Mus musculus: one gene and its partners. The protein of the gene in region 1 interacts with the protein of each later gene in a biochemical or structural test. Links are inferred from orthologs where the notes say so. Each region holds a gene or a part of one and is shown on either strand. Other genes may lie near its edges. The genes, in order: Fbxo7, Pink1 and Uxt.

Region 1 (10,852 bases):
AAGTTCTTCAGAGACAGGCAGTAGAGTGCAGGCCTAGAAAATTAAGTCCAGAAAAAGTAGGCATGTAAGGCCATCATGACCCCACTCCCTGACTTGTCATCTGTTCACTGTCTACCAGCCCTTTCCTGCCACTGCAGAATTCCCACTTCTTCAACAGACCCAAGGGATGCCACCCACAGCCTTTATACATTTACCTCACCATACTGTATTGCTATTTTTCAATTCACATATCTGCATCTCTCCATGACTGCAAATTTGTGTAAAGTACAAGACTACACAGGTTGTCCATTTTGTAAAAGGAACACAGTACCTGCTACATGGTGCACATTCAGGGAAGGCTTGTAACCAACTGCCGAAGGATGGCATACTACACTTGCCTGGTTTTGCGTACCAGGCACTCTCTCATAAAACTTAGACAGAGAAGAGGACAATACCTTTTTATAAATAGTATAATTTTAACTCAAATAAATAAATAAATAAATGACTAGTCAAGATAACCAGTTTATACAGCTTTGAAATGAACCAGGTCCTCGGATTCACCATTACGGCTTCTGAATATAAAAAATGCTTTAGTAAAGCTAAGTTGCTACATTGATTTTATTCAGAAAGCTTGTTTCCTAGTTTGTGCTCAACTCTTAATACTAAGCAACTTTTTTCTTTTTAGGATTGTATTTCCAAAAGAATCAGAGCAGAAGAATTTAAAGTTATATAGTATAAGGCAAGGTTGAAGGACTTGTATAGAGCCACAGCTGGCATTTATCCTTTCAAAATCAGCAGAGCTAAAGCCTAATGGCTATAGAAAGGTCGAACTTGTTACCTGAACTCTAGGCAGGTGCAGTAACACACACCTATAATTCTTGTACTGGGGAAGCTAAGGCCGAAGAATTTTAGAGTTCAAGGTTAGTCTGAGCTATATGACAAGACAAAACAAAAACAAACAAACAAACAAACAAAAATTAAAATTTAAAAGACTACCTAAAAGATGTTGCCGCTCAGCACGATATAGCTGTCCCGTAGGAGGCTCTGCCAAAGCCTGACCAATACAGCTGACTGAGCACAGGGACCCCAATGGAGAAGTTAGGGCAAGGACTGAAGGAGCTGAAGGAGTTTGCAACCCCATAGGAAGAACAATAATATCAACCAACCAGAGCCCCCAAAGCTCCCAGGGACTAAACTACCAACCAAAGAGTACACATGAGGGGACCCATGGCTCCAGCTGCATATGTAGCAGAGGACTGCCTTATGGGGCATCACTGGGAGGGGAGCCCCTTGGTCCTGTGGAGGCTCAATGACCCCAGATAGGTAGGGGAATGCTAGAGCCCTGAGGCAGGATTGGGTAGGCGGGTGGAGGAGCACCCTCAGAGGCAGGGGCCAAGGAGAGGGAGTAGAAGGTTAGTAGAGGGGAAACTGGGAAGGGTGATAACATTTGAAATATCAATAAATAAAATAACCAATAAAAAAACTTTTAAAAAAGATGCTACTGCTCAAAACATTTCTATGATTTTCTTTGAACAAATTACCATATTAAAAATATTAAATATATCAAGTCTAAATTATGAAAATAATCTCTTCACTTTTCCCCATTATCCTACTTTAGCCATTTATTACTTAGTAGCATGGGACAAAGCGTGTAATTTTTAAAAAAGCATTACCCTAAACTGCTAACTACATACCCACTGAAGGCTTATCAAACCATATCCCTAAGTCCAAGAAGCTCTGGTACCCTCTGATATGAGTGTTTATCATCTTCCATGTGCGAGAACAGAAAAAAGCTAAGCATTACTTCTACGCAATCCTGTACAGGCCACTGACAAAAAAATGAAAGCAATTGGCTAAATTGCATTCCACCTCCTGTCAGGTCTGATACAGGTTATCCCTTGCTGTCATTAACAGTAACTCCCAAGAGCAATGAAATAAAACTAACCTATATTTAGTTATAAAATAAAATTCCTCTCCTCTGGTTTTGAGTCTTACCCATCCATTTATCTTCCTTTTCCACAGTTCCCTTCTATACTGAACTTGCAGATCATACAGATTCAAGGACTCCAAGCTCAGCACCCCAGCAAGGTTTCATAGTCACCCCATAAAAACCTTACAAGACAAACGGTATGCTCTTAGAATTGCTCTTAGACCTGGAATCACTACCTTCAGGCAGGCACTCTCTGAAAGAGCCAGCCTGTCAGTAAAAACAGAGTCTGGAGTCAAGTTTAAGTATGCAGCCACATATGCTTATCCATCGCACACATTGCCCTATGAAGCAGAAACACACAGAGATACAAGAATGATTTGAAAGACAAATTAAAATTACTGTATGTGGAAATTATTTTAACAATTTATGAACCTATTAAGTATTTTAATAACCACCTATTCAGAATATCTGCCTATTCTATGTCATGGATCAATGTTTAAGGCTTGCAAAAGAAATTAAATTGGGTTGATAAGAATAAACAAAAACGGCTAAGAATGGTATATGTTGTCAGTATTAATTGTTTTGTTATACAGAGAAACCCTCTCTTAAAAAAACTAAAACAAATAAAGAATCATTTCACAAAAAATATAAAACAAATAATTAGGGGCTGGAGAGTTGGCTCACTGGAAAGGCACTGGCTGTTCTTATAAAAGTCCTGAGTTCAACTCCCAGCAACTACATGGTAGCTCACAACCATTAATAATGGGGTGTGATGCTCTATTTTGACTATACACATTAATAAATAAATCTTAATAATAATGATGATAATAAGGAACTTACAAAGTAACAAAGATCACCATTAAATGTTTAAATTGCTGAACTACAATTAGCAAGGACTCTGGAATACAGACAGAAGTACAAACAGGAAAAAGAGAGTCAGCAAGGGCCCCAGGCCACATCTTCACTGGTCACAAGGTCAGCAGGTTGTGCACTTGTGTGAGTATGAAAATGGAAAAATGGGAAGGATCGGGAATCTGTACTAACTAGAGACAGGAAAAGAACAGAAAGTAAACCTGGAGAGGTAGGGTGGGACAATAAGGGATTTTTCTCCTCTGTGAAATAACACAGAATAGAAAAATTAGCGTCAAAAGAGACAGAGGTAGTACAGAGCAAGAGAATGCCACAATGAAGATGCAGGAAGCAGACAGCCTGAAAAGTAGAGTAAAGAACAGACTGGCAGCCTGTGGTATAAGAAGTCACTAGGCACAGGAGACCAGTGGTCCTCTGAGGAGCAGAAGAGCTCCTGTGGGGGGGCCATGCAAGTTAGAGTGCTAGCATATTAGTGCAGACATTCAGCAGTTTAAAAAAAAAAATGTTCAAGCAGGGCAGTGGTGGGCACACCTTAAATCCCAGTACTTGGGAGGCAGAGGCAGGCCAATCTCTGAGTTTTAGGCCAGCCTGGTCTACAGAGTGAGCAGCAGAGAATAGCCAGTACTACAGAGAAATCCTGTCTTGACAAACCAATCCAAATCAAACCAAAAATGTTCACAAAGGGCACAGTCTACAGTTTACTGATGCTAGTCATGCTGACTGGTGTAGAATTCCTCTGAAGAATCAATATACCTTATCAATTACTCTATCCCATCTCTTCATCTACAATACCCACCATACTGTCATCAGTCCAGGCATCAAATGGGGTGGCCTGTCCTTGGGATGAATCAGTCCCTTGTTCATCTGGGATGTTAGTCTGACTTGGGGTGGCAGCCAAAGAAGGTTGGTCATTATCCTGGAGTGAGGAATGCTCTGTATCTGTAGATGAAGGTAAGTTAGGTGCCGGCATGTCATCTTCAAGAACCAAACATATCAAGTCCCCAGAAACAATCCCATATGAAGCCAAGGTCTCTTCATCTCCAGTGAGGGCATCCTTGTTGTTCAATGTAATTGCAAATCGGGTATCAGAACTGCCAAGAAAGATGGATGAGCATAGTAAGAGCTACCTACCAATATTCCAAATAATACATTTGGAATACATTAAAGTACATGCTATGTTCCCAAAAGCTCTATATAATATTTTAAAAAGAAAGAAAGAAAGAAAAAGCAGGAGACAAAATTACTTGTTCTCATCAAAAGCCTGGGTCATAGACTTGTAACTGGAGCTTTAGTAGGCAGGGAGGCGAATCAGTAACCTACACTTCACCAATTCTAAAGCACAGACTTTGCAGTACTCATCATCTCTGACCATGAGGAGCTTCTTAAACTTAACACATCAACCAGTTTAACCCACAGCTTTGCTTCCAGCTTTCCATCGTGCTGGGGCTTCAAACTCCAGTGTCAGGCTGGTGCATCAAACGCCTCAGCCAACCCGCCAACCCCCAACCCCATTCATTTTTCTTAAGACACATCCATTAAAGAGACATTACTGGAGTTAAAACTATTCCTACTCCTCAGGAAATAAGATGCTCTGATGCTTGCAAAATGTTCTGGTCAACAACAAGCTGAAAACCTGCCAGGGGCCCAGGGACACACCATGTCAACCTTGGCAGAAAGGGGACTCCCCAAGCAAACAATTCGTTCTGTAGATGGGATAAGGAGCGGTCTGTTTAACAGAAATGCCAGTTTTCCCTCCCACTTTTCTGAAGTGTTTTCCAAGGCCCTATTTTCTGTCATTTTGGGGGGTCAGGTGATTTTACCAAAAATAATACAATTCCAGAAGCTTGCATATATACATATATGCAATCTTTGATCTGCTTACTAGAAAATACTCTTTAAGAATAACAAATGTGTCACATGAACACATTTTAAAGCTTCTCTTCTGTTCCCTAAATGAACAAAATTTCAGAGAAATGAGTTTACTTTCACAAGCTGAGGCTTAAATTCCATCCACCTAACCAACTGCAACTGTGAAAACAGCATGCAAGAGAAACAGAGCTCTTGGGTTTCCAACCCTTTCAAAACTGCCCTGCTTAACTGAGAAGTAAGACTACTTGTAAATACCTTAAAAATTGAATTCTCAAAGTGTGAGGAGAGATAACTGTTATCAACATTGAAAACACTTGGTTTTACACCAATAAGTAACATGTGGGTAGGTCACCATTATATGGAAATATATATTATATATAATACAGCAACATATTTTCTTTTAATATGAAAAAATGCTCTTTTTTTAATGGTTTGGCTAACATTATTATCTTATTAGACAGGGTCTCACAATGTAACACTGGCTGGTCTGGAACTTGCTATGTAGACCAGGCTGACCTTGAACCCTGCCTCTTCCTCCAGAGCGCTAGAATAAAGGTGTAGCTCAGGCTCACTTAATGGGGGGATGGGAGCAGGGAGGAAGGGTGAAAAAATCTATTCAGGGTCTCACTTTGCTTAACTCCCTACAAATAAAGTGAAAAGGCTTATTTAAAATGCCAATTAATGGGAAACGTTTTTCTTTGAAAATTTTTCCCTTTAGAAGCCCCAGAGCCCATCTTTTTAATTTTTTTTTTCTTCACTAGTTCAAATTTCTAGCTCAGCACTTGAAGTGGGTCGTCCATACAGTTATCTCTCTATGTCCTGAAACTATCTTCTGCAGAAACACAGACGCTTCATCTGCAAAAATTAGTAATAGAACCCCATAAATTAGTAATAGAACCTAATCCTTTTTCAACTTGCCATGAAACTGTAAGCTCTCTAGGGTCATGCCTCTATTCGTGAAAAAAAAGCAACATTCTCACCCAGAGAATGCCCGCTGACAGGCGTACTTCCTGAACCCTTACAGTGAGAAAGTGAGAAAGTTACAGTTAGGTGCAGTCTGCCACTTGCACGCTCAGCTGTTTTTAAAGTTACTGTAGCCTTGGGCAGTGGCACAAATTACAGTGACCTAAGGTGTCAAGACTTTTGTCACCTTGAGCACGATGCTTTTCCGATTTAACCACTGAACTATCCCAACCGCAGAGGTAAACTCAAGTTAACACCGGGAGATTTAACGCAAGCCAAGCTTCCCGAGTTCCCTTCCCGCCCTCGGGGCCGCAGCGACCGAAACCCCGGAAGTGACTACTCACCGGGGAGGACAGCGGCACCCGGGGGAGGCTGGGCCATGGTCTCTCGGAGCCGGACCCCGGCCAGCACCCAGCTGCCGAGCGTCACAGTCACAGGCGCCCAGTGCAGCTACACCCGGGAGGCCCGGGCCTCACGTGACCGCTCGAAGCGCGCCATCCCCCGAGCCCCACGACAGCGACGCGGCTCACCTGAACCCCAACGTGGGCAGCAGGACCTGGCTGAGGTGCGCGCGCAGCTGCCCGAGCGTTGGCTCCGACTCCGGCACCTCGAGCGGCTGGGTCCGCTTCTGAAGCCGCACGCGCAGCTTCATGGCGAGAGTCGGACCGCAAGCTTCGGTCGGCCCCGGGAAGAAACCGAAAGCAAGGAGCTCCGGGCCTGCGCTCCCGAGGAATCCCCAGCGCTCGCCGCTCGGTCGACTACGCCCCCTAGAGCCTTCCGCTCGAGCGGAGGGCCGAGCGCCTGCGCTTCCCTATCGCTGGCTCGGCGCGCGACATCGCCACCTGGAGGCGAGGCGCGCACGGCGCAGGCGCTGGGTTTGCTTGGGCGCACTTGAGTCTCTACGCTTCTGCTTCTGCTTCTGCTGGGGTGAGCGAGTTTGTTCCTTCCCTCCCAGCAAGCAGGATCTTTAGCTCTGGAAGGAATGCTGCCAACAGTGTGGAGACATGACAGACGGCCCTAACCTGATGTCACTGGTTTCCGTGCCCAGAAATGAACTGCTCTATCCCTGTCATTAGAGTGCTCAGACCTGCCTGAGAAATAATGTACACAGGTCCCCTGTGATGACTAAAGAAAGTTAATGTGGAGCCAGGGATCCCTTAAGGGCTGTTGGATGCCTGGGAGGTACTAGAGACCTGCAGGTGAGATAAGAATAGGATAATGGCTGTGAGGATAGTAACTGCTGCCTTTGCTTCTTTAAAACTCACTATCGCTATGGGAAAGGGATGAAATGATCTTTTAATTACTATATAGCGGGAAGGTGAGAAACAACTGAGGAAAGTAAAACAGTTTTCCTGCCCAGCTTGTATTTCGTGGTAAGTTGTAATATACACCTTTCTGATGTCCAATTTAAAACCCCATCTTATCCTTAGTCCCCCTTCCCTATGGAATGCTGTTTGGGCTCTAAAGCTGCCTTCCTTCTGCTAGCAGTAAGCATAAACTCATTTTAATATAAATTTGAATTGAGCCTAAGTCTTTGGTTTCTCCCAATGGATTTGAAGGCCACAACAGTATAGCTCTTCACTTCTCACGATAAATCTTGATAAACCAGACTGCCTCCATCTCAGGCGTAAAAGCCATCTTATAGTAAAGACAAACTAGGTTTCTCAAGGATTGGGCTATGTCCCACCTGTAACCTTAGCTACAAATGGCTCTGTACTGCCCCATGCCTTTATTTTAAAAGGTTATTATGGTGACCCTGTTGTAACCACCTTGCAACCATGTCTTTGTTTCAAGAGGCTGTTATGACCAACTTGGTATGCTTATGTTCTGCTTCGGTAATACATGCCTATTTGCCTGCCAAATCCTCATCTGGAAACCCCCTACTCCTGAACTATTACAATCTTACCTTACCTATGTCCAGCCCATGTATACATACCAAGAAAAGCTTGATTAATTAATTTGGCCATGATGGTTTGGGGTTGATGGTCTTTCTCCTCGAATCTGTGGGACTGATTTTTTTTTTTCCTGTGGGATTAACAGCATTTACTTCCTTTCTTCCTTGGCGCTGCCCTTAGGAACTTGAAGCTGAAGCCAACTCCTTTAGCCCCTTCATGTTACCACAAAATTTAAAGCAGCTTTTAGTTGTTACACAGTGTCTTAGTAAAATCTTTTGCTGCATATCAATTGTCCTCCAAAGCTTACTAACCCACATCAATAAACATTTGTCGACCCACAAATTCTGTAGATTGGGAACTTGGGTACAGGGTGGTTAGGTAATTCTGTCTCAGGGTCTCTTGCCAGAGCTGCCTGAAGACTTGACTACACATATCATCAAACGATTGGCCCCAGTTTTTCACAGATTTTTTTTTTCCAGAAATCTACTTGAATGTCCACATAACATGATAATTGGATTCCCTGAGAGTAAGCGACCCAAGCATTACCAAGACAGAAACTGTGAAGTCTTTTACAACATAGCCTCAGAAGTTACATATTTATTTCCATCTTTTTTTTTTTGCTACAAGCCAACATTTTAGTATAAGAATATCAAACCAAAAGCATGAATACTGATAAATAAATCAGATTGGTTTGAGACTGGTTGTAATAGAAAACCAATCTTTATGAAAGAGGATATTCTTGAGCTGGGCAAAAAGTTTGAGACACATTCTAGAATACATGAGAAGCCACTGGAAAGTTGTGAGGGGGTCTCCAATATCACGGTCTTTAGTTCTAAACAGTGGAAATTGACTCTGGGCAACTACCCAGGAAGGGGTGAATTAAAGGGATGATATATGGCCCAGCAGATTCTAGGAAGGACTGGAGAAAACTTATAACCACACTGAAGACGTGTCCTGATTAGGAATATATCAAAGTTGGGTCTGCGGGAAATTGCTGTCACCACTGCTAGGGAGGACTGGGGAGTGACTGACCCTGTCTCTGCTACCCTCAGATTCCTTGTGGGTTTTGCTCTGTCCTGCACCAACAAAATGACAAGCTTCCAAAAGATTCTGTTTTCTCACCTTACTTCCCAATCAAGGGTCTATATGGGGTGCAATCTGACTAAGGAAGTTTGGGCCCCATACCTGAGTCCTCACTGCAAAAGAAACTGAAAATCAGAATCTGACTCCTTTTTAGGAGCTTATTAGAATTTCCCCAGAAGTGTAAGGAAGGTGTTCAAAATTTGAGAAGAAGCCATGAATTTGACAGATGTGCACTACTAGGGCCATGCTCTAATCTGAAGTATATATATGACTTATAAAAAGGGTTGGCGGGGGAACTGTTGTGGTAAATCTCCAACCCAAATATGCCCTGGCAATGAAAACACAACTCAATTAATATGAATACATGCTGTGCGCCAAGACTGGGCAGATCTACCGCTACACTACCATCTTTTCCATAGAAGAGACCACTTAGAACTTTTGGTTTCTCCAAGCCAAGTGCTTCTTCTGCTCCACTTTCCTTTTTCCTCCTCCTCTCTTTCTCTCCCAAAACCTTCAGCCCCACCTTCCCCTCTTACTCTGCCCAATCGCTGGCTCTAGCCTTTATTTTATAAATTAAGGTGGGAAGAAGGTTTACAGGAAATCACCAGAGTGCTGACTCATTCCTTGTTCGCAGCCCCTCACGGGAGAATGGAATTAACATCAAATGTAATTAGCCCCAGGGAACACCTGTAGGGCCTTAGCATTGTCTCAGGGGCCAAGGGGACTTGCTATGCTTCTTGCTATGCTGTGGATTTAATTGTCAGCACCCACAATGCTGCTCACAGCCATCTGTAACTCCAGTTCTCGAGGATCCAGTGCTTTCTTCTGGCCTCTCTGGACACCAGGCAAGCCACGTGATCCACAGACATGCAGGAAAAACACCTACAGACATTAAATGTTTTTAAACTTTAAAATAGGGAATCTGTCCAACTCATTGTAGGTGGGGTATCTGTATAGATTGTTTGGGCTTAGGTTGGGAATATAGTTCAATGGGTAAATATTAGGTCTCAAGGAAAACCCCACGCATCCCACATCCCAAAAGAGCAGGCCTACTAACTTGGTCCACAAGGACCATCTTGGCTCAGATGATGCTGGACAGTAGGATTTGCTGGCCGACTCCTTCAGCATTCCTCAGAAATTTGTGAAATGGGTCTGCTAAAAAGGAGTCATTTCCATTAACCTGCCCTTCACTCTGGCAAAAGGGACCAACTGACATATACCTGTATTTGTATATCAATGCCCATACAGGCCTTCTGGCCAGTTCAGTCCCTATTCACACATATTGTTATGCATTGAAAAGCCCATACTAGCATCCTGGCCCCTTTCAGCACTCTAAAATCATAGGCTGTTCCAGTTCATAGTTTCCCTTCCTTGGGCTACTCATCCTCCTTATAACTAGAATGGTTTTCCCATGCTCCACTACCCTAGCTCTAGCCATGCCCCATCTGGTCTTCTTTCTTCTCTCTGCTTCTGACTCTTGCAAATGCCTGTGGATCTCCTTTCTCTCTTACAATAAAAAGCCTTCCTCTTCATAACGGAGCAGACATTTGTGTGATTTCTTTGCTGTCCCTCTGATGACAGTAAAGTGCTTGCCACACATTCACAAAGCCCTGCGCTTCATCAGCAACACCGCGCAAGCTAAATATAATGGCGCATGCCTTAGTCCCAGCACTTGGGAGAGGTGGGAGACTCAGGAGTTCAAGCTCACCCCTGGCTGCTTACCAAGCCCAAACCAATTTAGGTTACGTGAGACCTGATATAAGTAATAGCCAGGCATAGTGGTGCCTGCCTTTAACCACAGCACTCGGGAAGCAGAGGCTGAGCCATCTCTATGGCTTCAAGGCCAGCCTGATCTACATTCCAGGCCAGCCAAGGAGAGCTCTTGTCTCATTCATAAATAAATAAAAAGCAGACACTGGCCACCAGGTTCTCCCAGCACCCATTAGCCCCTCCCTGTCACAGGGCCCTCATGGTTTCCCACCTCCTACATGAACTCTCCAGCCCAGGGGCTGGGCTGCTCTTCCCTATATAATCCAACCATTTTGGTTACCCACCCTCTTTGTATGTTTGGGCCTCCTGGCTGCTGCTTCTGGTTCCCCTGTGCCTCCTCTCCCTTCCCCTGCCCCTTCCACATGGCACAGGTCAGCGTGATCACTGTCTACTCTGGCTATGTCCCTGTCTCTCCCATATATCTGCAATAAAGTTCCTCCTCCATAGTGAAAAGTAGTCATTTTTCCTTTTCCTTTTTATTTCTTTCTTTCAT
Region 2 (10,600 bases), on another chromosome or scaffold:
GCCTAGATTGGGCAGATCTACCGCTACTATATTCCCCAGCTATGAGATCCCTTATAGCTTATTGCGGTTTCTACAGGCCAAGTGCTTTTTGCTCCATTTTCCTTCCACCTCCTCCTCTCGTTCTCTCCAAAACTTTTCAGCTCCACCTTCCCTTCCCCTGTTCAATCATCAGCTCTAGCCTTTATTTTACAAGTTAGTATGGGAGAAGGGTCATGTGAAGTCACGTGAGTATGTGATTCACTCCTCATCCCAGGCCGCCCCTCTCTGGGAAGCAGAATTAGCATCAAAATACAAACAAAACGAGGGCAATCCACAACGCTGCCTGGTGAGTAAAATGAATTTTTTATCACGTAAACATATAGATCATGAATGAGGTCACGAGCATCCAGAAGTCCCTTCACATTCCTCTGGTAGCTGCCTACCCAAGGGACCTCAGGGCCATGACCCTTAACACTAGAGATCTGTCTCACTCACTTGCCTTCGTACAGTATGTAAATGGGAGAACATCTATCCTTTTATTCTTGCCTTAACTCCTTACAGTGTTTATAAAATGCAGGTGTAGCTCTGTGGGTTGAAGGCCATTCTGCTCTACATAGCAAGTTTTGAAAAAGTTAAAATAATAGATCATGGTCACTGCTGTATTTGGCAGCTGTCTCTTTTTACACCCCAAGAATGATTTACTTTGCAATAAACTCTATCTTCTATTGGACACACATACATACACACACACACACACACACACACAAATGGAGCAGAAGATAAGAGACTTTAGGAGAAAATATAAAATGGCTATTTGCTGACAATTGTTGAAGCTGGATTGAAGTAGAAACTTAAGGGTTCTTTGGAAAGTCAGTTGTGTTGGATGCTGTTTCACTGGGGCAAACAAATGAAGAAACATTTGCTGAAGTGGACACAGGTGAAGGCTAAGAAAGACTTGTGAGGGAACATTTTCCCCCGAAGCAGACACAGATAAAAGGATGTTCTGCTAAAGCAAACATGTGAAAGTGCACGTGACGAAGGACTCGTTGCTAACAACACACATGTATTGGTCCGCCTTACATCGCAGAGTTGAGCTCCTTTGTCGGAACTCCACAGAGAGAAATGCACCAAAACACTTCTGATGGTGTGCTGCAGTTTCTCCTTCTTCTTCAATTAAGATTTACTTATTTATTTTATATATTCATCATTGCTCTCTTCAGACACACCAGAAGAGGGCATCAGACTCCACTGCAGATGGTTGTGAGCCACCATGTGGTTGCTGGAAATTGAACTCGGGACCTCTGGAAGAGCACTCAGTGCTCTTAACCACTGAGCCATCTCTCTGGCCCATGCTGCAGTTTCTTGCAGCTTCCTGGGACTCAGGATGATTGGCGGAGTGATGTCAGCTGAGACAGACACATGTGCTGAGACAAGACACGTGGCAGTGGCAGGCATGTAATGTTTGGAGGGAATATAAATAGGACTTCACATACAAGGACAAAGGCGGAGCTAGCTTATAAAGCTAGCTGTGCAATGCTTGGTGGTCTCTGAGTCTTCCCATCTCTGAGAGAGGCACAGATGAGAACTTCTGGTGTCCCCTCCTATCCCTCCTGCTGACTAGTGCCAAGGCTGAGGCCTGGCTGTCTCTGCTAGGTAGTGCCACCGTTGCTGATTCATGTTTGCTATCCTGACTCTACTGAACTGGACTGTGCTATATCTGTGAAGTGTTTGCGAGTGGATCAAGCTGCCACTGTCTCCTGTGAACTGAACTGCCGATTTCCAGACAACACAGATGGAGTTGCTCCAAAGAACCTTTCTAAACAGGTCCACTTCCTTTCTTTCCCACTACCTTGTTAATAGCGTTCTCACGCCCGGCCAGGAAGAACACAACAGACCAGAATCTTCTGCGGCAAAACTTTATTGCTTACATCTTCAGGAGCTAGGAGCGCAAACCCCCAGCCCCAAAAGCGAAAGCCCCTTCTTACATCTTTAGGAGCCAGAGCTCCGGCGCGCCAAAGCGCAGAGCGCGCTCTATTGTTTACATCTTTAGGCAGCGAGAGAGCGCAGGGCGCGCAGAGCCAGAGAGATGCCAGCGAGAGAGAATGGCGGAAAACCCGTCCCCTTTTTAGGAGAGTTATATTTCGCCTAGGACGCATCACTCCCTGATTGGCTGCAGCCCATGGCCGAGCTGACGTTCACGGGAAAGGCAGAGTACAAGTAGTCGTAAAATACCCTTGGCACATGCGCAGATTATTTGTTTACCACTTAGAACACAGGATGTCAGCGCCATCTTGTGACGGCGAATGTGGGGGCGGCTCCCAACACTACCTCTGGTGGGTAGTGGGTTAAAAGAGAGGTTAAAGCATTGAAGAACCATCATTTAAAATAGGCTTTGAAGGCTGGGCAGTGGTGGCACACGCCTTTAATCCCGCACTTGGGAGGCAGAGGCAGGTGGATTTCTGAGTTCGAGGCCAGCCTGGTCTACAGAGTGAGCTCCAGGAGAGCCAGGGCTATACAGAGAAACCCTGTCTCAACACCCCCCCCCCCCAAAAAAAATAGGCTTTGAAAAAAATTAAAAATTTCACTGGATGACCAGTATTTGGTATTATGTGATTTTACACACACACACACACACACACACACACAAAATTATGCTTAAGTCAGAGACAAGCAAAAAGATTATTCAGCCTGATGTGGTGGTATATACCTGTAATCCCCACACTCCAGAGGGCCATCCTAGTCTACAGGAAGAATTCCAAGCCAACCAGGGCTATGCAAGGCCTTGTCTCAAATAAAGTAAAATAAAATGAGTAAAAATAGTAACAGGGTTAATAACCTTATTATCAGCTAGCTATTCGTAACAAGCAGTTTAAGTCATAGGGATTTATTAAGCATCTGGGTGGCTTCTGGTTAAGTCTCCCAGTCAGTCTCAGACCTCAGCTCCTGCACCCACTGGTGCATAAATTATGGCCTTTGGTCAAGATTTCCCTCCAAGATCTAAGCCCCGGAACCTCCAACCTGTCTGTACAGGAGCATGAGAGCACTTGGGAGTGGGGGAGAAGAGCCAAGGTCTTCCCTCGATAGCCAGGGCAGTGTGAACTTCAACCTCAACTCTAATACCTGCAAGCAATCTGGAAACACCACAGTCGCTTATCTACAAAATTGGCACTCATATCATGGGGGGGACAGTCAAACTAGCTAACAGGTGTAAAGGGCCTGGATCGGTGACTGATAACAAATATTAGTTTCCTGGCTCAACGTCTCATCTTAACCAGGACCAGTGAAGTTGTTCACAACCCCTCGACCTGGGTTCAAAGTGCAAACCAGCTGCACCAAGGGATGCAGGGATGAGCGGGTAGCGCCCCCGCGTGCTGCGCAGGAGAACTGCCGGGGACCGCCCCCCGCGCTTGCGCACAGGCGCCGCCCCCGAAGTTTGTTGTTGTCCCAGACGTTTGTGGCGGTGGCAGCTGGCTCCGGTCACCGCGCCACCATGGCGGTGCGACAGGCACTGGGCCGAGGCCTGCAGCTGGGTCGGGCGCTGCTGCTGCGCTTCGCGCCCAAGCCCGGCCCGCTGTTCGGCTGGGGGAAGCCCGGCCCCGCGGCGGCCTGGGGCCGCGGAGAGCGCCCAGGCCAGGTCGTAAGCCCCGGAGCACAGCCTCGGCCGGTCGGGCTCCCCCTCCCGGACCGCTACCGCTTCTTCCGCCAGTCGGTAGCTGGGCTGGCGGCGCGGATCCAGAGGCAGTTCATGGTGCGGGCCCGGGGCGGCGCAGGCCCTTGCGGCCGAGCGGTCTTCCTGGCCTTCGGGCTGGGGCTGGGGCTGATCGAGGAGAAGCAGGCGGAAGGCCGGAGGGCCGCCTCGGCCTGTCAGGAGATCCAGGTGAGAGCGGCGGTGGGCGGGAGCGCCGGGAGCGGGCCGAACCGGGCCAGAGTGTAGCCCTGAGGCCAGCCGGGCCGGGGCGGGGCCTAGGCCAGGAGGAGGCGGGGTTAGGAGAGTGAGTGATCTGGGTGGGGCGGGGCCAAATTGGACAGCAAGGGCGGAGTTAGTTGGATAGTTGTTGGGGCAGCCTCAGAATCCTAGTGGTGTAGGGGCGGGTCGTGAACCAGGGCGTGGTAGGAGCCTGGGCATTGGGAAGGGCAGGTCTCTGAGCCGTGATTGGGCAATTTAAGGGGGTGGGGTACTCGTGGACCAGACTGAGTGGCTGGTGGCATCTTAGTTATGTGTCTAAGAGCATGAGGACATGCCTAGACCTTGGGGGGGGGGGTAGGTAGATCAGGGGATAAGGCAAAGATTAAAATCTATCTATGACTTGGACTATACATTTCTTGGAATTGATCTGTTAATTAAGGCTGACCTATTTCCCATTACTGATGGCCTGATATGCCGACACTTTGCAAACAGTATGGTTTAAAAGCTGCTGATTATTGGTCTCTGTTGCACTGTAACAAATGGCTTTGAGTAAATTTCTTTTCTTTTGGGATGCATAAAAGGGGGACAGAGCCTTGATTTGTATATGTAGCCCAGGTTTGTCTTGAACTTTTTTTTTTTTTAGTTTTTCAAGACAGGGTTTCTCTGTGTAGCCCTGGCTGTCCTGGAACTCACTTTGTAGACCAGGCTGGCCTCGAACTCAGAAATCCACCTGCCTCTGCCTCCCAAGTGCTGGGATTAAAGGTGTGCACCACCACAGCCCGGCTGGATGATAACATTTGGAATGTAAATAAATAAAATATCCAATTGAAAAAAAAAAGTCACTCAGGAGGCAGAGGCAGGCGGATTTCTGAGTTCGAGGCCAGCCTGGTCTACAAAGTGAGTTCCAGGACAGCCAGGGCTATACAGAGAAACCCTGTCTCAAACCCCCTGCCCCCCCCCCAAAAAAATCAAAAGTTATCATCCCCTTTCCCAGTTTCCCCTCGGTAAACCCCCTATCCCATTCCTCCTCCCCCTGCTTCTATGAGGATGCTCCCCCACCCACCCACTCTCAACTCACTGCCCTGGCATTCCCTACACGGAGTCATCGAACCTTCACAGGATCAAGGGCTTCTCCTCCCATTGATGCCAGTCAAAGCTATCCTCTGCTACATATGCAGCTGGAGCCATGGGTCCATCCATGTGTACTCTTTGGTTGGTTGGTAGTTTAGTCCCTGGGAGCTCTAGGAGGGGGGGGGGTTGGTTGGTTGATATTGCTGTTCTTCCTATGGGGTTGCAAACCCCTTCAGCTCCTTGGCCTTGAATTTCTGATCTTTCTACCTCTATCTCCAAAGTGCTGGGATTATTGGTATGGACCACCATGCTTGATACACATCTTCTAAAACCCCTACCACTCTCATTCCTTGGTGCACTCATCATCCTAATTTACAGGGAGTCCATGCTCAAGAGAGATGAGAAGGTTTACTCAAAATCACACTGCTGATAAAAGGCAGTGCCCAAAGTTCACCCTTCAAAAGGCTGGCCCTCAGCTGAGCCAGACTGCCTGCCACTCCTGTTTAGCCAAACAGTGGGAGAGAGGCTGAGCAGAAACTGCAGCAACGCTGGAATTTCAGGAGAACACAGAAGATCTAACGTGTTAGTATTTAACCAGAGTGGAGTTATGACTGGATACATGGAAGCTCTGGAGCCTTTTAAACTCTTAAAATAGCACAGAGACCTCTCTAGTCGCACAGTTGTCTGGTCAAGGTCACCCAGACCAACAGAAACAATGGATGTGTCTATTAGAGTCTGGGACTTATTTTGAGGAGTTGGCTCAGGCTAGGTTCGCAGATCTAAAACCGGCAAGCAGGCCCAGGGAAGAGCTGGCTCTGCAATTTAAGTTCTTGGGTGGTTGGCTGCCAGAACTCAGCCTTCTTGGAGGAGAGCAGCCTTTCCCCTGGGGTTTAGAACCCCTTGCTGAGTCAGACCAGCCCCTGCATGCTTCAGGGTAAGGGCTGAGCAGCAGAGGCTTAGGCACCATGCTCTAAACCATCAATGAAGGACCAAACAAGCATTTCCTCTCCTCCCTGTTCCTAGTACTGGAATCCAGTTCCTGTGTCTTGCATAGTTATGCAGGGCAACCCTGCCTCAAACAAGCACACAAACAATAGGAAAAGGTATGAGGCCAGGTGGCAGGTAAGCAGGTGTAAAGACTTTCAACACCCTGGCCATTTGACAAGTGTGCATGGAAAATAGATGAGCTATCCATTCACACTTCCCAGAATAGCTAACCTATTGTAAGAACAATAGCCGACACCATGAGGTGGGGAAACAGAGCACTCACTCCTGGTGGTGTTGCCAATGGAACATAATACAAAATTAAATAGGTGTTTACCACACCAGCCTGTCGTTGAAGTTGTCAGCATCTACTGGGGGGAAACAGAAACAGTCACACAAAACCCTGTGTGCTGCAGTTTCTATGGAAAACAGTAACCCTAACCTCTGAAGATTAACAATAGACTCATTCTCCCTGGTAATTCCACTTCTGTATGAATATTTGGCATAATGGAAATCGTATACAGACCTTTCTGCACTGAAGCTCAAGGCTACTTACTGACTATAGCCAGGGGGTGAAGTGACCCACCCCACCCCACCCCACCCATGTCCTTCAGTGCATGAATGGATAAACGGAGTAGATACAATAGAGGGTATTATCTAGCCTTTGAAAAGGAATTCTGGCACCTGCTACACATGGATGAATCTTAAAGACAGTGTACGGCTCTAGTTCTAAGAGCCAGGCTTCTCTGCATGCCCGGACAGAGAGGGGAAGAATGGAATATCGTTCTATAGTAGGCACAGAGCCTTATAGTTTTGCAGAGCTGGAATGATGATAGTGGTTGCTTAGCAACATGATCGTTCCTAACACTGCAGAAGTATTCAAATGTATGTCAGACATATTTGACAATATGTGCTAGGCATGTTGGACCATATCTCTAGTCTGAACACTTGTGGGAGGCAGAGGCAGGCAGATCACAGAGTCTGAGGAGAGCCTGGTCTACAGAGCAAGCCAGATATAGATGTAGGGAGACTCTGTCTCAAAAGAAAAGAAAAATTACAATTTAAATATAAATCTATTTAGTGTAGTATATTGATGATGGTAGCAACATTGTTCATAATACCCCGGAACAAAAACATCCACCCGTGAGTGAAGAGACAGTAACATAAGCCATGGTTTGTATGTCCATGATGAAGTCTCCCTCCGCAGTTAGCAAGCAACCAGCTAGACATGCAGATTGGGACCTGAATGTACCTTGGGCAGCAGGCTAAATGTAGAAACTGGGGCTTAGAAAGCTGCACGCTGCACGATTCCATGTCTAACTCTTAATATGGGTCATCTGAGGATGGCACTGTGGTGGTACAGAGGTTGGAGGAACCAAGGAGCTGTGGCTACGGAGCAGCCCTGTGTCTTGACTGGGTGGTCATCACATGAGACCACATGAAGTGAGATTGTAGGAGGCTGCACACTGATGCACAGGTGTGCACGCATGCATACACATGGATACACACATGCCCACACACATGTGCATATACACATGCAAGTGTGGTTGCAGTTAAGTGTGGACCATGCAGTGATGCAGTGTGGAATGTGCTACCGCAGTATGGTATCTTGTGCTCAAAACCCTGGTTGATGGGGATCACTCTGCAAATATCTCTCCCACCCCTCGGGATTTGGGTTTGTAAAGCTATGGGCAAGGGCACACCCATTTCCATTGTATTAAACAGTTAGAAGCTTTGGTTTAAAATATAGTAGCTTCTAGGGACCCAGTGCCTTAGGAACCACAGAAGGCGTGTGTGACAGGCTGGTCCCCAGGGCTGGTCCTGGAGGAAGGGTGACCCAGTCTGGGCTTGAGTCAATAGGGTTTTGCCAGGCACAGCAAGAACGCAGATGGGGGCCTGGGGGAGAGATCGGGAAGGGACTCAGGAAGAGGGAACTGCAGAGCAAGCCCAGATATGCAGGGCAGGGGCATAGCTCAGTGACAGTACTTGCCTAGCGTAGGTAGGGCTCGAGGACCCCAGAAACCAACAAGTGTAGGCGTGCACAGCCCAGCCTGGCATAGCTCCAGGGCAAGCCACAGCTGTCCCCTAGTGACCACAGGGGATGGGTTCTAGGTCCTGTTCAGTCAGATAGCCAAATACATAGGAACCAGGTTAATAAGATGACAGTACTGTATGGACCCGTCCATATTCCTGTGAGCTGTCAGTTGTTAGTATATCACTCACAGTGCCCAACGTGGCATTACACAGACTGGAACAAATGCCATGTGACTGTTCATAGAATAATGGCAAGAAAAAAGTGCCCATACAAGTTACTTGTCTTGTTTTGTTTAGTTGTTAAAGACAAGGTCTCAGGCCAGGCATGGTGGCACACTCCTTTAATCCCAGCACTTGGGAGGTAGAGGCAGGTGGATTTCTAAGTTCAAGGCTAGCCTGGTTTACAGAGTGAGTTCCAGGACAGCCAGGGCTAGACTGAGAAACCCTGTCTCAAACAACTTACCCTCCCTCAAAGAGAGAGAGAGAGAGAGAGAGAGAGAGAGAGAGAGAGAGAGAGAGAGAGAGAGAAAGGTGAGAAAGACTGTCTTAGGCAATGAAGCAGAAGCAGGCTGCATGAGAACCCTGTATCAATGTGCCTCCCCACTCTTGTGTTTGCTATGTAGGTGGCCCCTCCCCTCCCCCCCATTCCCCGCCCTCCACCTCCAGATAACTACATTCTTTTCCCTCACAGGCAATTTTTACACAGAAAACCAAGCGCGTGTCTGACCCACTGGACACTCGATGCTGGCAGGGCTTCCGTCTGGAGGATTATCTGATAGGGCAAGCCATTGGCAAGGGTTGCAATGCCGCTGTGTATGAAGCCACCATGCCCACGCTGCCCCAGCACCTGGAAAAGGCCAAACACCTTGGCCTTATAGGAAAGGGCCCGGATGTCGTCCTGAAGGGAGCAGACGGGGAGCAGGCTCCAGGGACTCCCACCTTTCCCTTTGCCATCAAGATGATGTGGAATATCTCGGTAAGGATGGACTGTCCTCCTTCTGAGCAGGCACGTCTCAAAGAGATTGTCTTTGGGGACTGGGGGAGACTTTCACAGGCTTTCCACAAGAAAGCCTATGGGGTTAGGCTTCTCCTGTCTTATGTGAGCGTCTGATTTTTTCGCAAGTTCTGATGGTGCCGCCCAGGCTTCTGTTCTGTGAACTACTCTGAGCAGCAACTGCCTAAACCACCGGTTTCTGAGCTGACGCTTAGTTCATCTGAGGTCAGCCATAAAACCGTTCACTCCTCCTTCCATGACTGGCTTCTCTGGCCAGGGAGGAGCCATGGTCTTCTCTATACCCCAGCATGATCCAAAGCTGTCTGTCCCCTCTCTGTGGTCAGTTTTGAGCTGGTGGTGACAGAAGACATCCCTGGTGGCAAGCATCAAGGGCTCTGAAATCTTGGCCTCTGTTCATTCCCAGGGCCACTTAACTACCAAGAGTTCGAGGTATAGCAAGCGTTCTCTAAGTGGTACCTTCCGCCGGTTTCGGGGAGTAGATGGTTTGGGCTTGCCACGTTAGAGGTGTTTATCTCACCTCGATGGTCAAAGCCAGATCTAGGTTGCCATCGTCTTGGTTCAGATCCCACAGGTCTGTTTAATCACACGTGCCCTGTGGCTGTGTTTCAGGCAGGTTCCTCCAGCGAAGCCATCTTAAGCAAAATGAGCCAGGAGCTGGTCCCGGCAAGCCGCGTGGCTTTGGCTGGAGAGTATGGAGCAGTTACTTACAGGTGAGCACTCCTTTGCCCACCGAGCAATCACGTGCTCTTTGAGAATAAACGTCTCCCCAGCACTACTACGCTGCACAGTTATCGCGTGATGTCCTGTAAGAATTTTTGATTTGTGGATAAGTTAAACTTGTGTCACACCGGCTAATAATGATGCTGGTGGCTGATTCCCATGGGTGCAGGAGTAAACACCAGCCAAAGAGGCCCAGTTCAGAAGGCTAGGCATTGTCCTAATTCTGGCAAAGCAGTGTGTGGGTGTAGCGCCACCTAGTGGTAAGCCTTTGTGACTGAGGCGCCACCTAGTGGTTCACATGTACTGTCTCCACGGGCGGGAACACTATTGACAGTGGCTGAGAGCCTGAAGTGCAAACTCCCGTAGCCCTAACCCTTCTACTTATTTCTATGACTTTCTTAGCTGCCTGGCTTCGGTCCTATGTGTCTATTCGATTTTTCCAGGTTTCTCTGGTTGACAATTGGTTCTGTATTCTACCTCTGGTGCCTGTGCCAAGGGTACTAGCTGAAATTCTGCTGGGTCTCCAGAGACACCCCCCCCCCCAGACGACTCATGGCTCATGCATGCCCACTTGGCCTCTGTCCGGAAACCTCGGACTCTGCTCCTTGCTGCCTCTCCCACCTCAGGTCTCGCCCTTGCCTGTCTGTACCCTCCCCACTCCCGAAAGCTCACCCCGTCTTCCTCAGAAGCCAGAGCTCTGACTTTCTGCATTGCTCAGGCTGCAGTCTCTGCACACTGCAGACAGACCTAACTTGGACCAAATCTCCCATCTCCCCACACTGCCTTGAAGCTACTATGACACCTGCCAGGGTGCTGCCAGCCTCCTGCTGAGGTCCTGACACTCCGTGTCACCATTCACCCAGGGCAAGGACAGTGCTACATAGTGCAAG
Region 3 (10,774 bases), on another chromosome or scaffold:
TATGTATGTATGTACATATATATATATATCAATTCTCATTAAAAACAGAAATAAAACAAACAAACAAAAACCCCCTGTGACATAGGAGGAAAACATGTGATAAAAATTGGACTTGTAGCAGGGCATGGTGGCACACACCTTTAATTCCAGCTCTCAGGAGGCAGAGGCAGGTGGATTTCTGAGTTCAAGGCCAGCCTGGTCTACAAAGTGAGTTCCAGGACAGCCAGGGCTATACAGAGAAATCCTGTCTCAAAAAACCAAAAAAAAAGAAAAAAAAAGTGGGACTTGTTCTAAATGTCCATAGTTCAGCATTACAATGACCTTGATCAAATTATAGTTTGATCAGCAAAATTTAGAAATCTTAGCAGGTTTCAGGTCTACTAATACTAAAATCTCTGGAAAGCTTAAGAGAAGAACTACTGGAACCGTACAGGCGACAACTCTAGGAACGAATCCAGGAATGATCATTGCAGGTGCTCATACTTGTGAGTGGTTATTTATCTAAGGGAGTACGTTCCCTCATACTCATTTTTCCTAAGCTATGTCACATGTGACAGTTTTTCAAGCCTGCCAGACACACTGTCCCTTTTGTCAAGAATATTCTTCCCCAGATAGCTCATGGCTTGATTCACCCAATAAACTGACTCAAATGTCACTTGTCTGAGAGTGGGAGTTTGAGGCCTTCTGTGTGGCCTCCAGTACCTACGTATTATGTGTATGGATGATTTGCCTGCATGTATGTCTGTATAGCACTTGTGTGCTTGGTGTTCAGAGGCCAGGAGAGGGAGTCAGATACCCTGGCACTGGAATTATAGAAGCTTGCGAACTGCTATGCAGGCTCTGGAAATAGAACCTGGGACTCCTGAAAGAGTAATAAATGCTCTTCACTGCTGAGCCATCTCTTTAACTACAGCACTATCTATATTTCAAGCTTCTCACCCAAAGTAGTTCTTCCCTACACAAAAACAAAACTTGGAGCCCACATTTTCTCTACTCACCACTACCCACATAGATAAGTTTTGACCATCCCTTCATTTGTTTCTAGCATAATTCATTCAAAAGAAACTGTGCTTTACACTATTTTAGTTACCCACAGTATAAGCTTTTTCCTTTACACTGCCTGTAACTTGGGCTAGGGACATAGAGTTCAGTAATAGAGCTCTTGCTTACTACACAGGAGACCTTGGCTTCAAGTCTCAGCCCTGTAAAAAACTGTAAGTGATACTTATTATCTGACTGTAAAAGACAATGAGCGTGAGAAAGAAAGGCATTTCACAGTACAATTTAACAGGTACTAAGATGGTAGATAGAGAAAAAATTAGAAGATGGCTGGTATGATAGCTCAGTGGGTGCTTGTCACATGAGCCTGGGGATCTGAGTTCCATTCATGGAGTCCCTGGAAGGATAGCATCAACTCTACAAAACTATGCTCTGATCTACACATGGATGCTATAGCACATATGTCCACAGACATGCACATATACACACTAATGGTCATTTTTTTAAGTAGAAGGGGGTGCAATTCAAGAACACTAGGAGTTGCAATTTTGAAGTTAGATCACAGAAGAACTTGTTCAGGGAGCTTGTTATTTATGCAAGACAATCAAGTATTGAGAAAAGAAACCACATGGAGAAAGTGCTGCAGAGCAGACAGACACCAGTAGCTACTGAATGCTCCCAAAGGTGGGAAATGCTTAAAGCATGTGTTAGGGCTAGGGAGGTGGCTCAGTGGACAAGAACATTTGCTGCTCAAGCATAAGAATGGGAATTGGATCCCTAGTACCAATGGAAAAACTCACACACCTCTGACCCCGGCATGGGTGCTTGCTGAAGCCAAAAAATGGCAAGCTTTAGGTTTGGTGGAGACCCTATTTCAAGAGAAATAAATAAAGCAGACAGCAATAGAGGAAGGCATTGTCTCTGCATGTGTGGGTACAGGCACATGAAGTTCAGAGAGGGGAGAGACCAACAAATGAGCAGGAAAATGAGCAGATAGTTAAGTGAGAAGCAGCTTCTTAGACTGTTAACTGATTCTTAGGTTGAAATCTCACGGATGTGGTCACAGATGTATGTACATGAGATTTCAACATAGTTCTAGAAATGTAAGCTTCTAAGACTCTTCTGTTGTTTACTGCTATATTCTCAACATTAACCACAGAACCTGGTATACATAAGATACTCAATAAATGTATGAAGGAATAATATAAAAAGTACTTATTGAGTGTTTAGTATGACACCCTGGCTGAACTTTGCATCCTCAGTTTTCTTAGTCTGAGCCCCGAAGAGGAAGGTAGTATGTTTTTCTAAGTACCATCCCAGGTAGCCACAGGGAAAAGGGTAGAGTATTAAAATTTGTGATGTCTATTTATTATTTTTTCTGTTTGTTTTATACACAGAGATTTGTTTTATCACCCAGAGTTGCTTCAAATTCATGATCCTCCTGCTTGATTCTCTAGAATCCTGGGATTACAGGTGTGAACTACCATATCTGGCTTTTATATATTTTGTGTATGTGTTTGTGTGATGTGTGATATGGATAGAACCTAGGGCTTCACACATGCTAAGCAAATGTTCTTACCACTTCCCTGTACCCTTAGCCAATGTAGTGGCTTTAGATACTATCCTCTTGGAATGCACTCACTCTGTGAGGAGAGAACTCTTTCGGTCAATGAACTTGAGTGCTTCAGCCAGTGTCAGTTCCAGGAAAAAACCATATCCCAGGGCCACATAGATGCGTGAAGTATCTGGGCTGAGGAAAGAGGTCAGAGGAAGTGGAAGAAGTCTTTATTACTATTTAGCACACTGTATGGTTTAAGGTGTTTCCTATTCCTTCCTGTTTCTCAAAATGAAGGCTCTGTAAAGGCAGATACTTTGTGTTCATTTTGGCCACACCCACAACATGTTGCTCATATCCTAATGAAATATAAAAGCTACTAGAGCCTTGTATATAGAAAATACTAAGAAATACTTGTTCCATGAAAAAAGGGAGAAACTCAGGAGGGGAGAGAATATACTCACACCACTGTGTCAACGAAGAAGTTACAGCCCAAATCCACCTGCATATATAACTCCGAGTGATTAGTTTCCTATAGGGCCAGGAGAAAAGAGGTAGGTGTCAGCGGGCAATTTTAAAGGCAGATAAGGTTTTGTTCTTGGGGTTTCTTCCCGCCTCCCTTCTTTGTACACATACACAAAGTGGTACCCAATTTAAAAACCTTTACCTGGAGTCGCTCAATGACATTTCTTAGTTGAAGATATACGGACAGCTGCTCATATACCTTGTCTCGATGATCCAGCACCTTTCTGATATGTAGAAATACAACAGTGAACATTAGGCAGCCTTATTCCTCTTGAGATGCCAGGCATTTTAAGTCAGGTTGTGGTTGACATGGATGTAATTCATGGGCTGAGGCAGGAGGATTCTGAGCTCAAGACCAGCTTGTGCTACATCGTGAGATCCCGTGCTCCCCTCCTCCAAAACACACACAATGGGGTATAGACAGAGACACAGCAGGCATTTCAATAAATACAGGTCAGACTGTAGTTCAGCCTGACCTCTACCTCTTACTAGGAATGTGACTATGGAAAGTAGAAAACCTACCTAGGATTAAGTTTCTTCACATAGAAAACAGAGATGGCCGTAGTAGCACATAAGAGTCATTAGAATCGAGTGTTTACTACAAAGTGTTTTAAATGCTAGCCAAATGGTAAGCATTATATACTTGTTACCTATTATAATTATAAATATTACATTTTATTCAGTGACTTATGCCAATTAAAATGTCCCATCTTCACCCTAAATGTACCTCTCCATCTCTTTTAGCATGCTCACACAGTCCTAGTTCTAAATACCTAACTTTCTATTCAGATTAGTAATGACAGCAATAGCAATCATCCAGTTGTTGAGTCTTTAGTGTATTTCAGGCACTGGGGTCAAATTCCTTTCCTAAAACAACTATTTAGGTTATTTGTTTTATTACCCAAGACAATATCTGAGTTTCTCAGGCTAAGTATTGAATTTGTAAACACACCAAACAATTCTTTCCTCTCAGCCTCAATATAATAATAGTGGGGTTTATCTGCATTTTTAAAATGTGTTCTTACTTGCATTTATGTGTTTATTTTGTGTACATGTATGGGTGCCATGATACATACCTGGAGGTCAGAGGTCAGGTTTTTGGGAGTCTTTCTTTCTTCCACCATGTGGGTCCCAGAGATCTAACTTAGGGCATGGGGTTGGAGGCAAGCCATCTTGCTGGCCCTAGTTTGCTTGTTTTGAGACATAATCTCAAAGCCCAGGCTATACACAACCTCGAATGTAGGTGAAGATCACCTTCAACTCTGGGTCATCCTGCTCCTGACACTATCCCAAGTACAGCAATTGCAGGCCTGTGTCACCACACTGGATTTTTTTTAAAATAGAATATTGTTCTATTTTCAAGGCTGGCTTGTAATCCTGGCTAAACAAGTGAATTTTCCCATCTCTCCACTAGAAGTGGCACACACCATGGAGCTTGAGCCTGGCTTTATTCTATTTTTTTCTCCCTTTGAGAAAGTTAGTCTGTAGCCCAGACTGGTTCTCAGCTTTACAAAGATCCTCCTGCTTCTGGCTCCCAAGTGCCGGAGTTGACACATTTAAAACTCAAACACCACGTTAAGAAGGCCTAATAAACTTTTCCATTTCACAGATGAATAAAGTTCACAAAGGTGAAGTAAGGTACAACTTGTTCATAAATATTGGTTAAATGGCCTAGTCAGAAACACCCTGTGTTCGGAATGACTATTTTAAACCAACAAACAAGGTCAGAGCTCTGCTAAAGGGACAAGTTCCAACCACATCTCAGCCCAGAAGTCAACCCTATTCCCAGAAGTCTGGGCGGCCAATCCGAAAGTTTGGTCGGCATTCTGTCCCACCCACCACGTGAAATTTCTCAAACGTCACGCCTCCCACGTTGTCACTCACTGCAAGTCTCGCTGCAGTACGTCACTGATAAAGGTCTCGTACCGCAGCACTTTCTCCCCCACCGTATCCAAGGCCCGCCGTTTCGGGGGCGTCGCCATGACGGGCACCTGGGGGAGTAAAGGGGGGGGCACGTTGAGCGCTCTATTTAAACTTCACAAAATTCTCTCCAGCCACTCAACGTTGGGGATGACTTCTTTCGGCTCGAGCTACGGAGTTGCTTCTGCCCAACCCGATTTTGGAACTCGTTCACTCACCGGTACAGGAGTACGGCGTTTACCGTAGGGCCACCGGCAATAACTGTTAGTATGAGCCGCGGCTTCCGGGTGGCGCGGATGGATGATGTAATTTCCAGCAAGGGAGCCAACCAAATCGATGGGAGGGGCGGTCCGGCGTGTGGGAAGATGCACTTAGGGGAAGGGCTGCAGGCGGGGCCTGAGTGAATCCTTGGAGGTAGCAGGATCCTATGGATCTAGATGGGCCTGGCACGCCGCGGTCTGCCAGCAGGCGGATCGTCGCGAGCTGGCGGGAGACTGGTTTGGGTGACGTTCAATGAGATTTGGCGGGTTCTGAGGGAGGGTGGACTTACAGGAAGGTAGGGAGAGGGAGTTAAGTGTTTATAATTAGTAATTTGAAGTGTGTGTGTGTGTGCGCGCGCGCGTTGGTACTGAACTTATAGGCAGTTGTGAGCTACCATGATGTGGGTGCTGATAATGGAGTTTACATTCTCTGCAAGTTTTATGTGTTTTTAACTGATGAGCCATTTCTGTATTCCCCCCTCCTTACTCTTACATTTGTTTTCCTATTTTATGTGTTTTGTCTGCATGTTTATGGACTACATGCGTGCATTGCCCACAAAGGCCAGAAGAAGTTGTGGGATTCCCTGGAACTGGAGCAACCAACAGTTTGTGTGCACCATGTGGGTAATGGGAATCGAACCTGGGTCCTCTATAAGACTGGCCAGTGCTCTTAACTACTGAGGTATCTATATAGTCCCTATTTTTTTCTTTTAGAAACATTTCTATTCTTTGAGAGTTTCATAGATGTATGCAATATATTTTCATCATCTCCACTCCCTTTTCCCTCCAACTCCTCCTAGACTCCTCCTACCACATTTTCCTCCAATTTCATATTCTCTTTAAAACAAACAAACCAAATCAAAACCAAAAGAACTCACTGAGACCACTTAAGCATTTAATAATTTTAAAAGCACAAGAGTGCCTATAGACCAGCAAGGATTATGGTACTAATCTATAAGGAAGGCAGTATATCCTGTGGGGATCTGTTTGAAAAAAATATATGTTGCACACATTGTTTGGTTTTCACCCTCCATAAAGGGAATGAATAAGAGCACATAAAAATGTTTAAATGGAGACAAATTTTAAGAAATTTATCTTGAATGAATTTCTGCTTGGTGGCATGCAGTCCATGATGAGGGCTACAGAGAAACCTTGTCCCCCAAACCAAAACCAAAATTTGATGTTACATGTATTTAAAAGTAAATTTGATGTGCTTAAAGCAGATATTAGGAAGCTATATAATATTAGTTAATCTTTATTTGCTAAGGAGAACAGTTTAGATAGACTAGAGTTGGGTCTGTTAAGTTTATTAACATATTTCATGTAATTTTTCTTTAATTTAAAAGATACTTTTAGGTTATCCAAATGGCTCACTGGTTAAACGGTGCTAACCAGTCTGACAGCCTGAGTTCACTCTGCACGGCGGCTTGTAGGTTACTGCTGTTCCTGACATAGAGATAGCAAACTTCTTTTTTACAATGGGAGGTAGTTACTAAAGAAGATTCATAACTGGTTCAACTGCAAGGAATGTGTCTGTTGCTGTGGTAGAGCTGCTCAAGGTGGTAGAAAGTAATAATCACCTATATTATTCTAAGTCTTAGAGAATAGAAGGCAAAGTGGGAAGAATGTGAAAGCTGCAGGAAGGGAGCATTGTCTCACGATTTACACTGTTGGGCATGACCATTGCTATTTTGAATAAGAGCAGATGTGATCACTATTCATCAAACATTTACCCCTTCCATACATAGTTCTGAGCATTTTACATATATCAACTCATTGTGTTCCTCTGAGGTGTCTGACTGTGTAGCACAGTTACACATAGTCTGGACTGCTTTCCCCATGTCCAGACTAGAAAGAAATATAACCAGGGTTTCATTTTCACACTTCAATCTTGGTCCATCTAGAGTATGGATATATGTAATAAGGTATGGGCCCAATTTAATATTTATCTACAGCTTTATTTTTCAGTTAGAGTCTTGTCATATAGCCAGGCTGGCATTGAATTCACTGTCTAGTCCATGCTGGCCTTGAACTTAAAATCTTTTACCCTAGCCTTTCAACTTCTGGCATTGCAGATGTAAGGCACCAAGTCAAACTTAATCTGTTTGCAAACGTCTGTGTTTAACGGGTAGAATGATGTCTAGATATATAGCCACAGAATATGTTTGAAAAAATTTTACATATATAATTAAGGATCTTGAGGTGGGGGGTCATTCTGAGTTAAACAAATGGCCCCAAACCAATGAGAATTTTTTTTTTTTTTTGGTTTTTCGAGACAGGGTTTCTCTGTGTAGTCCTGGCTGTCCTGGAACTCACTTTGTAGACCAGGCTGGCCTTGAACTTAGAAATCCGCCTGCCTCTGCCTCCCAAGGGCTGGGATTAAAGGCATGTGCCACCACTGCCCAGCGAGAAATATTCTTATAAAACAAAGAGAAAGACATAGGAGATGGTGTGAAAACTGAAAACTGGCAGACATTAGGGTCATTGTTATTATTTATATACGAGATGTCTTCTCTAAAGGCTCATATGCGTTATGGTTGATCCATCGCAGGTGACAATATTGAGAAGTGATTGATCATGATGACTTCTTCAATGGATTAATTCATTGATAAGTTTATAGCTGAATTGCTCATAAGAAATGGAGCCTACTTGGATGAAGTAACACCCCAAGGGCATGTGTGTGTGTGTGTGTTTATAAACAAACACACACACACACACACACACACACACACACACATATATTCCTATATCCATTTTTTTCTGTTTTTTGGCTGCCATGAGATAAGTGGCTTTTCTCCATGATGTCCTTCTGCCATTACTTTCTGCCCTGCTAAGAGGCCTAAAAGGGGGGAAAAAAAAAGACCCCAACCAAGCTGATCTTGGAAATGCGATATCTGAAATTTTTTTTTTTTTTTTTGGTTTTCTGAGACAGGATTTCTCTGTATAGCCCTGGCTGTCCTGGAACTCAACTTTGTAGACCAGGCTGGCCTCGAACTCACAAATCTGTCTGCCTCAGTCTCCCGAGTCTAGGATTAAAGGTGTACGCCACCACACCCGGCTAGGATGTCTAAAACTTTGTGATCATAAAAAAGTCCTTCCTCATTTGTTCTTTTGTTAAGTCTAGTCACAGCGATGAAAATGATACTAGCATGGTAATATGTTTATAAATTAAAGGGTTGAGGCCATAACTTAGTGGTAGAATGTTTACCTAGCTTGCATGATGCCCTGGACTTGATTTTTGGAACTTCAAAAATACAAACTGAGGCATATCAATGATTGCTGCTGTCCTTAGAGAAGGTAGGAAAGAGGCATAGAATAGATTTTGAGTAGAAAGGGAATAGAATACATTTTCTTCAAAAAGGCTTGGCTCTATGATCTCATGAGTTTGGACTTACAGTCTCCAGAACTATAACAGAATAGAATTTATTGGTTTAAACCAGCCAGTCTGTGGTAACTTTTTACTGCTCTCTTAGGAAATGAGCATATTTATTTGAAAATTCACCTTTGTCCATCATGATTTGAGATGGCATTTTAGTTAGACACAGACTTCTTTACTGACATTTTACACGGTTTCAATGGCTTATATATTCATGGGTCATGAGTGCATGGTCTTACTGTTTTGGTTGGTTTTGTTTTTGAAATATAGTATTGCTATTTAGTATATATAGGCTATTTTTGAACTTAATATGTAGTTGAGGTTTTGAACTAGCTACCCTCCTTTGCCTTTTTAAAAAAAAAATTTTGTTTTGTTTTGTTTTCCTTTTTTATTAGATATTCATTCACATTTCAAATGCTATCCCCTTTAATTGTTTAGTCCCCTGTACCCTTCCCCCTCCCCCTGCTCCCCAACCCACTCACTCCCAGCTTCCTGGCCCTGGCATTCCCTTAACTGTGGCATATAATATTTGCAAGACCAAGGGCCTCTCCTCCCATTGATAGCCGACTAGGTCATCCTCTGCTACATATGCAGCTAGAGACACGAGCTCTGGGGGTACTGGTTAGTTCACATTGTTGTTCCTTCTATGGGTTGCAGACCCCTTTAGCTCCTTAGGTACTTTCTCTAACTCCTTCATTGGGGACCCTGTGTTCCATCCAATAGATGACTGTGAGCATCCACTTCTGTGTTTGCCAGGCACTGGCATAGTCTCACAAGCGACAGCTATATCAGGGTCCTGTCAGCAAAATCTTGCTGGCATCTGCAATAGTGTCTGGGTTTGGTGGTTGTTCATGGGATGGATTCCCATGGGGGCAGTCTCTGGATGGTCCTTCCTTCCATCTCAGCTCCAAACTTTGTCTCTGTAACTCCTTCTATGGATATTTTGTTGCCCCTTCTAAGAAGGAATGAAATATCCACACTTTGGTCTTCCTTCTTGAGTTTCTTGTGTTTTGCAAATTGTATCTTGGGTATTCTAAGTTTCTGGGCTAATATCCACTTATCAGTGAGTGCATATCATGTGTGTTCTTTTGTGATTGGGTTACCTCACTTAGGATGATATCCTCCAGATACATCCATTTGCCTAAGAATTTCATAAATTCATTCTTTTTAATAGCTGAGTAGTACTCCATTGTGTAAATGTACCAGATTTTCTGTATCCACTCCTCTGTTGAGGGGCATCTGGGTTCTTTCTAGCTTCTGGCTATTATAAATTAGACTGCTATGAACATAGTGAGCATGTTACTACAAGTTGGAATATCTTCTGGGTATATGCCCAGGAGTGATATTGCTGGATCTTCCAGTAGTACTATGTTCAATTTTCTGAGGAACTGCCAAACTGATTTCCAGAGTGGTTGTACAAGCCTGCAATCCCACCAGCAATGGGGGAGTGTCCCTCTTTCTCCACATCCTCACCAGCATCTGCTGTCACCTAAGTTTTTGATCTTAGCCATTCTGACTGGTGTGAGATGGAATCTCAGGGTTGTTTTGATTTGCATTTCTCTGGTGATTAAGGATGTTGAACATTTTTTTCAGGTGCTTCTCTTCTCAGCCATTCAGTATTCTTCAGTTGAGAATTCTTTGCTTAGCTCTGTACCCCAATTTTTTTTTTTTGTTTTTTTGAGACAGGGTTTCTCTGTGTAGCCCTGGCTGTCCTGGAACTCAACTTTGTAGACCTGGCTGGCCTCAAACTCAGAAATCCGCCTGCCTCTGCCTCCCCAGTGCTGGGATTAAAGGCGTGCACCACCACACCCGGCTTTGTAACCCAATTTTTAATAGGTTATTTGGTTTTCTTGAATCCACCTTCTTGAGTTTTTTATATATATTGGATATTAGTCCCCTATCGGATTTAGGATTGGTAAAGATCTTTTCCTAATCTGTTGGTAGCCTTCTTTTCTTACTGACAGTGTCCTTTGCCTTACAGAAGATTTGCAATTTTATGAGGTCCCATTTGTCGCTTCTTGATCTTACAGCACAAGCCATTGCTGTTCTATTCAGGAATTTTCCCCCTGTGCCCATATCTTCAAAGCTTTCCCCACTTTCTCCTCTATAAGTTTCACTGTCTCTGGTTTTATGTGGCGT

What was found.
Region 2: the proteins of Fbxo7 (region 1) and Pink1 form a complex in vitro, tested with the Homo sapiens proteins (2 studies listed by BioGRID, with this or other methods). The link is inferred for Mus musculus from reciprocal best matches to the Homo sapiens genes FBXO7 and PINK1.
Region 3: of the proteins of Fbxo7 (region 1) and Uxt, one has a biochemical effect on the other in vitro, tested with the Homo sapiens proteins (2 studies listed by BioGRID). The link is inferred for Mus musculus from reciprocal best matches to the Homo sapiens genes FBXO7 and UXT.

Annotation. Positions count from the first base shown.
Region 1 is NC_000076.6:86,017,434-86,028,285, reverse strand, and holds the start of Fbxo7 (F-box only protein 7), read right to left. Parts: upstream 6,358-10,852; 5' UTR 6,264-6,357; coding exon 6,142-6,263; intron 6,133-6,141; exon of another isoform or gene 5,993-6,132; coding exon of another isoform or gene 5,956-5,992; intron 3,871-5,955; coding exon 3,576-3,870; intron 1-3,575. UniProt on the Homo sapiens protein: Substrate recognition component of a SCF (SKP1-CUL1-F-box protein) E3 ubiquitin-protein ligase complex which mediates the ubiquitination and subsequent proteasomal degradation of target proteins and plays a role in several biological processes such as cell cycle, cell proliferation, or maintenance of chromosome stability.
Region 2 is NC_000070.6:138,319,089-138,329,688, reverse strand, and holds the start of Pink1 (serine/threonine-protein kinase PINK1, mitochondrial precursor), read left to right. Parts: upstream 1-3,392; 5' UTR 3,393-3,469; coding exon 3,470-3,856; intron 3,857-8,666; coding exon 8,667-8,951; intron 8,952-9,599; coding exon 9,600-9,700; intron 9,701-10,600. UniProt on the Homo sapiens protein: Serine/threonine-protein kinase which acts as a sensor of mitochondrial damage and protects against mitochondrial dysfunction during cellular stress.
Region 3 is NC_000086.7:20,956,717-20,967,490, forward strand, and holds the start of Uxt (protein UXT), read right to left. Parts: upstream 5,263-10,774; 5' UTR 5,218-5,262; exon of another isoform or gene 5,134-5,217; intron 5,071-5,133; 5' UTR 5,062-5,070; coding exon 4,964-5,061; exon of another isoform or gene 4,960-4,963; intron 3,304-4,959; coding exon 3,222-3,303; intron 3,087-3,221; coding exon 3,019-3,086; intron 2,750-3,018; coding exon 2,642-2,749; intron 1-2,641. UniProt on the Homo sapiens protein: Involved in gene transcription regulation. Acts in concert with the corepressor URI1 to regulate androgen receptor AR-mediated transcription. Together with URI1, associates with chromatin to the NKX3-1 promoter region.